Cricetulus griseus: one gene and its partners. The main gene of each other region encodes a partner of the protein of the gene in region 3 in a complex. Links are inferred from orthologs where the notes say so. Each region holds a gene or a part of one and is shown on either strand. Other genes may lie near its edges.

Evidence for each region.
Region 1: Fbxl13 (region 3) and Drc3 share a complex: the UniProt entries of both Homo sapiens proteins name them as parts of the nexin-dynein regulatory complex. The link is inferred for Cricetulus griseus from reciprocal best matches to the Homo sapiens genes FBXL13 and DRC3.
Region 2: Fbxl13 (region 3) and Efcab2 share a complex: the UniProt entries of both Homo sapiens proteins name them as parts of the nexin-dynein regulatory complex. The link is inferred for Cricetulus griseus from reciprocal best matches to the Homo sapiens genes FBXL13 and DRC8.

The regions. Positions count from the first base shown.
Region 1 is NC_048600.1:74,496,796-74,500,447, forward strand, and holds part of Drc3 (dynein regulatory complex subunit 3), read left to right. Parts: intron 1-1,139; coding exon 1,140-1,286; intron 1,287-3,652. UniProt on the Homo sapiens protein: Component of the nexin-dynein regulatory complex (N-DRC) a key regulator of ciliary/flagellar motility which maintains the alignment and integrity of the distal axoneme and regulates microtubule sliding in motile axonemes.
Region 2 is NC_048598.1:15,668,546-15,672,197, reverse strand, and holds part of Efcab2 (dynein regulatory complex protein 8), read left to right. Parts: intron 1-1,542; coding exon 1,543-1,622; intron 1,623-2,381; coding exon 2,382-2,424; intron 2,425-2,516; coding exon 2,517-2,583; intron 2,584-3,652. UniProt on the Homo sapiens protein: Component of the nexin-dynein regulatory complex (N-DRC), a key regulator of ciliary/flagellar motility which maintains the alignment and integrity of the distal axoneme and regulates microtubule sliding in motile axonemes.
Region 3 is NW_023276806.1:172,973,909-172,977,560, forward strand, and holds part of Fbxl13 (dynein regulatory complex subunit 6), read left to right. Parts: intron 1-124; coding exon 125-242; intron 243-335; coding exon 336-498; intron 499-2,878; coding exon 2,879-2,998; intron 2,999-3,652. UniProt on the Homo sapiens protein: Substrate-recognition component of the SCF (SKP1-CUL1-F-box protein)-type E3 ubiquitin ligase complex.

The DNA of each region.
Region 1 (3,652 bases), on a different chromosome or scaffold from region 3:
ACTCTTACCTACTGCCATGCATTTTGTCAGCAACTTTTTCTCTCTGTGGCTAAAAGATGTAAAGGGGACTCTTATTTGAAAAACCTTTTAGAAATTAAACCAGATACTGCCTTCAACTCCACAAGCAAGACTCCAGTGGCTTCCATAGTTCTTAGAACACATGGAAATTCTTGCTGAAAGCCTGTGTGCTCTTCTAGGAAGCAGCCTCTGATATTGTTTCTGCTTGTGTCTTATGTCCTCCCACCTGTCCCCTCCCCATTCTCCGCAGCAACCTCAGATGAGTGCTGTTGGTGACTGTGCCAAGCTCTCTGCTGCCTCAGGGCCTTTAGCTTCCTGGACTGTGCTCCCCCTGCTCTTCCATAGCTGGGTCTTAGTGAGGGTTTCTATTGCTGTGATAAAACACCATGACCAAAAGCAACTTGGGGAGAAAAGGGTTTATTTGTTTACACTTCTACATCACAGTCTATCACCAAAGGAAGTCAGGGCAGGAACTCAAGGCAGGAATCTGGAAGCAGGAGCCAATGCAGGGGCCATGAGAAACCTTACCTGTCTGGTGTACAGTGCAGCGTCTGTGTTTCAATGTTGCTGTCATGCAAGCACCAGCCATGTGGTTGATCTCCCCGTTTTACTAAAGCCAAAGCATAGGGAGGATAAACAGCATCAAGCAGAATGCTCTTCTTGCTGTTGTCCAGTGAATAAAAGGTGAGCCAGAAATCCAGCTCCATTTAGTGAAGGAGACTTGGGGCCTTCGTGTGGTTTTACTATCTAAAAGGTCACACTATTGTAAGCAGTCAGTCAGTGGGTGTTGTGCACCTTGCTGACTGCTCCTCATAGCTTATTTCATTTGGCCTTTTGATGACACACCATGTCATTCTGCCTGTTTTATAGAGAAGGGAATCAAGACTCACACACTAGACTGATCATTTGCCAAATGTCCCTCAGCTAGGCTTTGAGCTCTCCTTGTCTGATTCTTCTGAAATCTTGTGACTGGTCTCAGAACTAAAGTCTGACTCAGAAGCCACAGGCCCTCACCTGGTGCCCTGGCCAGACTGTAGACTAAGGAAAAGAAGGGTGTAGAGGGTGGAGGTGTTATGTGTTATTCCAGTTCTATAGCAGACCTCTGCTAACTCCCTTCTCAGATCATCTACCTGCGCCAGTTCTCATGCCTGCGAACACTCACCCTCTCTGAAAACCCCATTGCTGAGGCAGAGGAGTACAAGGAGTTCATCTATGCCTATCTTCCTGACCTTGTGTACCTGGACTTCCGGCGCATTGATGAGCAGGCGGCAAGTGTCCCGGCTATGTCCCCAATTCTGCTATACAGTCTTTAGGGCCCAAGGTTTCCAGAGACATTGAGGACATCTCCCCATCCATGGTTAAGAGAAGATGGTTCCTGGCTGAGCCCTCTCCCCACCTATGCACGGCCATCCAGCCGTGGCTTCCCGAGGCTTCCTACAGGCCCAGGCTCCTTCTACATATCACCCCAGGGCTACCAGCTGTTATCCAGGCAAAGACTTTAAGGAGAGTAAAGGAAGGGGACAGTAAATTGTCATGATCATGAGCTGGTGGCAAGGTCAGACTTACCCCAAGCTTGAGCCTGGGAGCAATCCACAGCGATCCACTGAGTGTTGTCACTCCAGGCTGAGTGTCCTGCTCTCATCCCCATTATTCTGGAAGCACACATAAACTGACACACAAGGGAAATGATTCACCCACAGTCTCCCAGTCAATTAGGATTAATCTAGGAGTTGGCTCCAGGGAGTTGGTATTTTAGCCACCTGCTGGGCCAGTTATAGTGTGTGTGTGTGTGTGTGTGTGTGTGTGTGTGTGTGTGTGTGTGTGTGTGTGTGTGTGATTTCCCCTCTCTCTACTGTCTGCCTCTGTCCCCTCTCCCTTGCCATAAGTAAGTGTCTCTCTCCTGCTGCTCTGTGCCTATGGTTCAGTGTGTGAGGCCTTTAGTAGCAAGACTATCGAGTCTATCTAAGTCAGGTGCCTAGAAACCCAAAGGCTGCTGACCTACTTGGTTTTTCCCATAGGAAGTTGTGTGCTTTTGCTGAGAAAGAGGAACCTATATTTGTCACACTGAGGGATTTGGGGGGTATGCAAGAAAGGCTATCTGGACAGAAAGAAGGGATATCCCCAGTGTCTACCCTGATCTTCTAGGGCCCATTCAGAGAGCCCAGCTCTGGGGGACAAACTGGCTTTAAAGTTAAGTCTTGTGCTGTTCACAGCAATAAGAGGAGACAGAGAGCTGCTTCTCCAACCCCATTGACAGTGGGCTTTCTGTGACAATGTGAACCTGAGTATTTCTCTTATTCTTTGGTTTTATTTGTGTTTTTGTTGTTGTTGTTTGTGTTTTTGAGACCACAGTCTCATGCAGTCCAGGCTGATCTTGAATTCACTATATAGCCAAAAATAACCTGACTCCTGATCCTTCTGCCTCAGTTTCCCAAGTGCTGCGATTACAGGTATTTGCGATGCCTGGCTCTGAGATTTTTAATTTGGAGGCTTTTTGGGGGGAGGGGCATTTCAAGACAGGGTTTCTCTGTGGCTTTGGAACCTGTCCTGGAACTAGATCCTGTAGACCAGGCTGTTCTCGAACTCACAAAGATCTGCCTGCCTCTGCCTCCCAAGTGCTGGAACTAAAGGCATGTGCTACCACAGCCCGGCAATTCGGAAACTTTTTAAAAATTTTATTTTATGTTCATTAGTGCTTTGCCTGCATGTATGTCTGATCTTCTGACACCAGGGTGTCAGAAGCCCTGGTGCTGGAGAGTTACAGACAGGTGTGAGCTGCCATGTGGATGCTGGGAATTGAACACCGATCCTTTGAAGCTAGTGCTCTTAACCACTGAGCCATCTTTCCAGTCCCAATTTTGAGATTGTGTGGTGTGTGCACGCGTGCATGCATGCATGTGTATTCCAAAACAGGGTTTCTCTGTGTAGCTTTAGTTGTCCTGGAACTTGCTCTGTGTACCAGACTGGCCTCAAACTCACAGAGATCCTCTGCCTCCTAAGTGCTGCCACCATACCTGGCCAGTTCTGAGATTCTTAAATTCAGTGGATAAGTTGGCACATTCCTCTAACCCCAGCACATGAGCAACTGAGGCAGGAAGATCAATAGTTTGAGGCAACCTGGGCTAGATTCAGGTCATCCTCAGCAATTCTAACTTTGTCTCAAATACCTAAAAACCAAGCAAGCAAGCACTGCTTTTAAGCCTTGGTCTCATCTCCAGAGCAGGATTCTTACACTGTTTTCTTCTTGTAGACCCTTCTTGCCTGAGAAAACTTACATGACTATAGGTAAATAGGAATGCAAATTAAACAGTTATTGATAATAAATCATAAAGAAGTTTGTTTTAAAACAGTTCTTTGGTACACATAGAATTTTACCATTTATTAAAGGGGATAGCTTCATTAGCAAAGTGCTTGCCACACGTTTGATCTTCAGGAATTACATAAAAAAAAAAAAAAAACAAGTGTAAGGGACTGGAGAGATGGCTCAGTGGTTAAAAGCACTTGCTGCTCTTGCAGAGGACCTGGATTCAGTTCCCAGCACACACATGGCAGTTCATAGCCATCTATAACTGGATCCCCTCCAGTTCCAGGGGATCAGATATCCCATCCACAGGCACCAGGTACACATATTCAC
Region 2 (3,652 bases), on a different chromosome or scaffold from region 3:
ACTTTTAAAAAGTCTTCCCTGAGGTTTAAACCCCAGAGTCCATAAAGACTCTACCACTGAGCCTCACCTGCATTCAGATGTTTAACCTTTAAGTCTCTGTGTTCTGGGAGTTTCAGACTACCGAGCTATATTAACATGAATTGTCAAAATGCTCATCATAGACCTTAGAGGAAGCTGAAGAAATTGTTCACATGGTACAGAAATTCTGAAACATGATGTCCCTAGATGGGTTTGATTTTCTCTGATAATGGATTCTGAAGACTCTACTCATACAGACTCATATGAACATTAAAAATAGTTGTCATTTGGATGACAGTGTATTCTACTTAATAGCCACCCATAGATTTATTTTTTGTTGAAACAATAAATCTCTTAAAAACTCATCTGTTCAATTGGGATCTATGAGCCTTTTAATAGGATTTTTGAAAGAAAGTGCAGGATTTATAGCTCCGTATAAATTGCCTGACATGGAAGTTAAGGTCAGTAGAGCTTTGTTCAGTCGGTCGGAGTTGAACCCGGAAGCAAAAAAGACTTGTTTCTTTCTCGTTCTGTAGTGCTAGGTGCCAAAAGCTCTCATCTTTAGAATAGTATTTTCTTAACTTAGGATGACAGAGCAGAGTTCTAGTACTCAGGAAAGTATTTCATAAGTACAAGAATGATTTGAGATGTAGGTCGGTCCTTGAGATGATGTATTCAGGGTTCCTCATTTCACGGAAAGACAGTGCATTTGTGCAAGTCAGAATCTGGGAGTCATTTTAGATGCCTTTTCCCCCTAATCTGTAATGGGTGAATGCTGTCACTCTGTCAAGTCTTCTTAAAGGTCACATACCCACTCTCCTCATGGCCACCACTCCAATCTGCACCATCACCCTTTGTCTGAAGTAGCCACCTCATCCACAACAGAGTGACCTTTCAAAACACACACCTATGAGACTGTCTGTGGTTTTGCATTGTTCTCAGGATAACAGGGAATGGCTGTTCTGGGGATGATAGGGTCTCTCTCCAGCCTCTTCCAGCCCAGACACTACAGTTGCCAGTGACTTCCCTGATGCGCTGATGGGAGAGGCTTCCTGTGCTCTGTGCTCCACTAGACCCACATTCCTTTGCTCATGGTGTTTGCATAGATCTAGATTTAGACATTCAAGCCAGGCATGGTGGTTCATGTCTGACATACCACCATAGGGGAGGCTGAGCAGGAGGATCATTTCAAGTTTGCATAGTAAAAACAAATTGGATACTTGCTTTTGTGTTCGGTGTGTGGGAGCACACATGCCAGAGGTTAACTCTGAGTGACAATCCACTGTGATGCAATTACACACCTTGCTTTTGACATGAGTGCTAGGAATTGAGTTTAGGTCCTCAGGGTTGAGTGGCAAGCAGGTTACTGAATTGTATGTGTCTCTCCTGCAGAAAACAAGCTCCACAAGCTGCATTTGTGTCTATAGTCTCATCACCAAGTCCTAACCTTGTCTCAGTGTTTGAAAGAAAGTAGTTGCTCAGTATATTTGTTGAATGAATAAATGACTGTTTCTAATTGTTCAGGTGGAAGAAGAGGAACCCACCGGATACATTCGTTTTGAAAAGTTTCTTCCAGTGATGACCAAAGCACTTCTGGAAAGAAAGTAAGGAAGTAAATCCAATTTTAAGACAAGATAACTAGAATGGCAGTAATTTCAAAACATTTGGCTGGCCAGGTGTGATGCCTTATGCCTGTAATTCCAGCATTGATGGGCTGAGGAAGGAGGATTGCCACAAACCTGAGGCTAGCCTTAGTTATGGAGTTTCAGGCCATCCTGAGCTACAGAGTTTTGCCTCAAAACCAAACCAAACCAAACCAAACCAAACCAAACCAAACCAAACCACTTGGCCTTTTATATTTTATTTACCCAGTCTATATCTTAGGGTAGTTTCCTCTAGCCTTTCAGTGTACTGCAGACTGGTTTAGGGATGTGCTTATAAATATAAACCATGCTAGCATTTATTAATACAAGCAAGAAATAATGAAAAGGAAAAGGAGCTACAAAACCAACAACATTGTAGTTATATTTAACTGTGAATTACTATTTAAAAATAAAAATTAACATTAGTTACTTTCCTAGCATAAGACAGCATTAGCATATGACAGTTGATTGATTGTAGATGTTTTGGTTGTAGATAAATTTATTTTTATATCAATGAGAAAATGCTAATAGGTAATACCAAACATTCCTGTGGGGTAGGTACTGTTGACTTTCATATCCAGAAATCCAAAGAAATTTCATCAAGGGAAATGCCATTAGCATAGTATATTAGTGGCTTTTATTTTGCCTAATGCAGTCATTTATCATGTAGAGACTGAGATAAATATGCTGGCATTAACTCACTTTATTGTAAAATTACAGATACAGACCAATTGGTGAAGATGTCCTTCTCAGAGCTTTTGAGGTGGGTGAACTCCAGATTATTCATGTATATGTGAAAAACTAATTCATCATATAGTATTTATTCAACAAAGAAAATATATCTACTTTCCCCAGGTTTTGGATCCAGCTAAACGAGGGTTTCTGACCAAGGACGAACTGATCAAATACATGACTGAGGAAGGTCAGAGCACTTTATTTCTTATTTGAGTAATTTATGCAAAGATAAATAGGCTTAAAGATGTTTATTTTTTAATTGTGTGTGTGTGTGTGTGTGTGTGTGTGTGTGTGTGTGTCTGTGTGTCTGTGTGTCTGTGTGTGTCTGTGCATCTGAATGCAGTACCCATAGAGACCAGAAGCATCATGTCCCCTGTAGCTAAAGTTACAGATGGTTGCCAGCAACCTGACATGGATACTGGAAACTGAACTCAGGTTCTTGGCAAGAACAGTGCATGGTTTTAACTGCTGAACCATCTCTCCAGCCCAATTAATAAGTTCTAAACAATTATGCAAAAGTTATGGGAGGCGATACTTTAAAAGCAATTGTTTGGTTAAATAATTTATTTATTATTCCTATTATTTTGGTTTGGTATTTGATTTTGTGTAATAGAAGTGTAATGATTACTTGTATAAATTGTGTTTACTTTATTCACTTAAAATATTTTCTGAATAAAAGACATGCCACTTAATATGAGCTGTCAATCATAAACCAATGCCTTTTTAGACAGAAGATTTGAATTATAGTATATAAAAATTTCTTTCAAAAGACTGTCTTCGGTGGTAAAGTTGCAAACAATATAGCCTAATTGAATGCAAATTCACGCAAAACTGTATTTTCTTACGATAATGGGACCTCCTCTGACAAATACCTATATATTTCCTTAAATGTTCTCTTTTTATGTCAATATATATATGTGTGTGTGTGTTTCCGCTAACTGTAAGCAGCATGATGGACAATCATTAATGCTGTTCAGACACACACACCCTGCACTAAGGAAGGAGTTCTGCTTCCTCTACACACACACACACACACACACACACACCCTGCACTATCTTCAGCTCCCAGATGCACAGGCCACGTGGTGAGTGATGCAACAGTCACCCATCAGTTGGACATGGACATGGGTATCATTTTGAGCAAGGAGACCAGTACTGGAAGCTCTATGCACACCTGATTTGGCCATTTTAACTCAGTTCCCCCTCAGGAAACAGGAAGTGAGAGAAGGAGTAAGATGAAAGCCATAGCTGCCATC
Region 3 (3,652 bases):
AAATTAGGAAAATGTAATAGTTAGCATATCTGTTTCTGAAAATCTTGAGGGGAAAATGACAGTATCTCCTCATTGTTGGTCCTCTACAGTAGTTAACCTGTCTCTGTTCTTTCCTCTCCCAAAGGTCTTGGTTGAGAAGTGTCTCCAAATTTCAACGGTGGTTTTCATTGGCTCACCACACATCTCTGACTGTGCTTTCAAAGCTCTTACTTCCTGTAACCTCAAAAAGATCCGATTTGAAGGTCTGTGAAGCCAAAAACATGATTTAACCTTGTTTTTAAATTTTTTTCCCTGGACCTTTAAATATAGTACTTGTATTTCCTTCTTTTCCACAGGAAACAAAAGGATTACTGATGCATGCTTCAAATACATAGACAAGAATTACCCAGGTATCAATCACATCTACATGGTGGACTGCAAGACACTAACAGACAGCAGCCTCAAGTCACTTTCAGTTTTGAAGCAATTGACAGTGTTGAACTTGACCAATTGCATAAGGTAAGAAGTCATTCAGGGTATGTCAACTCAGGGTTCAAGTAACATTATCAAGGATGAGCCAGTCCCTCTCCACAGTGTTAATGGGGATCAGGAAAGGCAGGGGACCAAGTCTTACTGTGTAGATGAGTTTTCTAGTTTGACTGATAGAGTAATTATATAATCATTTTTGACGGCACATGCATCTGATTTTAATCATACACATAGGCCCAAGACTGTACGCAGAGGATTTTCCCTAAAAGTTCACTTGAAAACACAGTTTTGTTGTATTGCACTAGCTCCCAAAACCAGCTGAGCTGGCTCGGCCTATTTTTCATTCTAGATATCTGGAAATCTTTTTGAAAGGAAACTGTCTAGGTTTGATTGTTGTTAGGAGAAGGACAACTTACACTGTTTCTCACAGAGGTTTACAAGTAGCGCAGTGTGGGTGGGGCTTGAGGGGGCTCTGAGGTTGCTAGGTACATTGTGTGCCTGGAAAGGAGCTAATCTATCTCAAACTAAGCAGAGTCTCAGGTTACTAAACTGTCCTGCTTCCGGTGGGTTCTTTCTTTGTGAACTCTCACTCCTGTTTCCTTGCCCACAGTGCTGCCTTTCTGCTTTCTTTTGCAAATCTTTTCCAGAGACACACTTCTCAGTCTTATAGCTTGGGTTCTATATTTTATTTTCTTGTTAGTGAAAACATTACTCATTGATTACTCCAGTCTGGTGTTAGCTAATAGGTAAGTTTGTTGTGTTTGGACCCTGCTCTTCGTCATGCCTCACTTCCCACCCCACCAGCCTCTGGCTTGCCTTCCTAGCTGCTGGTACAGCAGTGACTGGGTGAGATGCATCATGGGAATCACTAAAGTTTCCATTCGCTGGAATACTGTTATGATAGTTTTTAATGTCAACTTTGTCACAATTTAGAATCACCTGAAAGGATTTCCAACCTGTCTGTCAGGTTAGCCTGTTGGCATGTCTGGGGGGGGGGGGCTTGTTAATTGGCATGGGAGACCCACCCTGACTGTGGGCAGCACTATGCCCTGGTTTGGGGGTCCTGTGATGGCTAATCTTGTTTGGTAATTTAACACAGCCTGAAAGAGGGGCCCTCAATTGAGCAATTGCTTCTTTCAGGGTGACCTGTGGGCATGACTATGTCTTGATTGCTTTTAGACGTAGAAGGGCCTAGCCCACTGTGGGAGATGGTGTCTCTGAGTGGGTGGGCCTGGGCTGTCTAGAGCCTAGTAGCAAGCATCTCTGAGGTCGGTGTTTATTCCCTGCCTTTGGTTCCTGCCTGAACTTTTGTCCTCGATTCCTCTGATGATGGACTCGAAACTGTAAGGTGTAGTAAACCCTTTCCTCCCCAGGCTGGTTTTGGTCAGTGTTTTATCATAGCAACAGAAAGGAAACCAGGACAGGCCTTGAGTAGTATGAGGAGGGAAAGCTAGCTGAGAGCAAGATGCCCAGCAGGCAGCTTGGGTGCCTGGGTACCTTCAGCTCTCTCTGCTCTTGACTGCGGATGGGAAGAGACTAGTTGCTTTGAGCTGACCTCCCTCAATGGTGGACTGTAACCTAAAACTATAAGTAAGTACGCCATCTCAGAAGCTGCTTGGCTAAGGGTGCTTGGCTCATTGAAGCAACAGAAACAATCACCTTCTGCCTTTTCTGCTCTGCTCCTGGCGAGTCAAAGGGAAAGTGCAGCCAGCAAGGAAGGCTCTGAGTGCTCTTCCTGCCCGCACACCCTCCTGTAGACTGTCTGTGTGTGATATAATCAATCGCTTGTCCTGTTTCACTGGTGGAAAGGCTTTCTAGAGACGCAACTGGTGGTCTTCAGATAATATTAGAAGTAAAGCCCTCCTGGAAGACCGAGGACAGTACAGGGAGATAGCGTGGCCCCTCAAGGCGCTTCTAATGACGACAGGCTGAAGTCACCGACTTCTTCCAGATGCAAGTTTTCTCTGGCCTAGAGTTCCAAAGGTCACCCCTTGTGTTTCTGGTCCAACCCAGGTGACCTTGAATTCGGTAGAATCCATCCAGGATCTTGAGTCTTGCTTCTTCCTGTTCTAAAATTTGGCCTTAGCCTTTTGCTGATCCTATCAGGGATTTTTTAACCTTAGTACATTTTAAACTGGAAAAAAGAGATCATCCATGTTATTAATAATCATGCCACCTAATAAAACAAATGGACACAAATAACATTTTATTAATATCTCTCCTATTACTATCATATATCCATTTTCTGTTATATTAAGAGCTATGCAATCATTTTCAAAAATTTGACAAAACGCCAGTGTATGGATATTTCCTACTTTGGAATGTATTTGGTGTAGAAACTGGTGTCACCACCAGCCTGTATGTTTATTTATGAGAACATATGTGACCCTTCTGTCTCTCTTTTCCACAGGATTAGTGATGCTGGCCTGAGGCAATTTCTTGATGGTTCTGTGAGTGTGAAGATAAGAGAACTCAATTTGAATAACTGCTCCCTTGTGGGCGATCCCGCCATTGTGAAACTGTCAGAGCGGTAGGACAAGCGACAATCTGCATTAGAACATTAGCTGTAACAGGCGTGACCATGGATAGACCTAAAAGCCAAGAGCCCAAGTCCTTAGCTGCATGTTGGGCACACCCAGAGCTAGAATAGCCGTTAGGCTTGAGTCCTTAGAAGGAAGTAGCCTAACCCCATCGTTGCTGCTCCCTCTTATTGTTACTGGGTTTAATTCTGAACAGAGAGATGGATGTGTAGATAGTGTGACTTGTCTGCACTTTTCAAGGATTCTGTCCCTACTTCAGGTTTCCTGAGGACTATTGTAGATGATTGATTTAATCCTGACCCTCCTCGCTTGGCAGTGGCCTCAACTAAGGCTCCTGCCATAGACCAAGGAGAGAGAAGTGTGGAGGTTGGCCATGCATGTCTGGTGTCTACTCTTCAGGGTGTTTTCATGCTGGTGTTTTATGACTCTGAAAAACACTTTTCTTGCATTGTTCTAAACCATAGTGTGAAACGAAATCAAAGACAGTCTCATATTACTCCACCTTTCTTCCCTCCAACTTTATATTAGCCAGATGGGGCTCCTATCCCAAACCCCAGCACTTCACAGGCTGAGTCCAGAGGACTGCCATGAGTTCAAGGCCAGCCTAGAACTACAAAATGAGTTCCAGGCCAGTTTAAGGTATA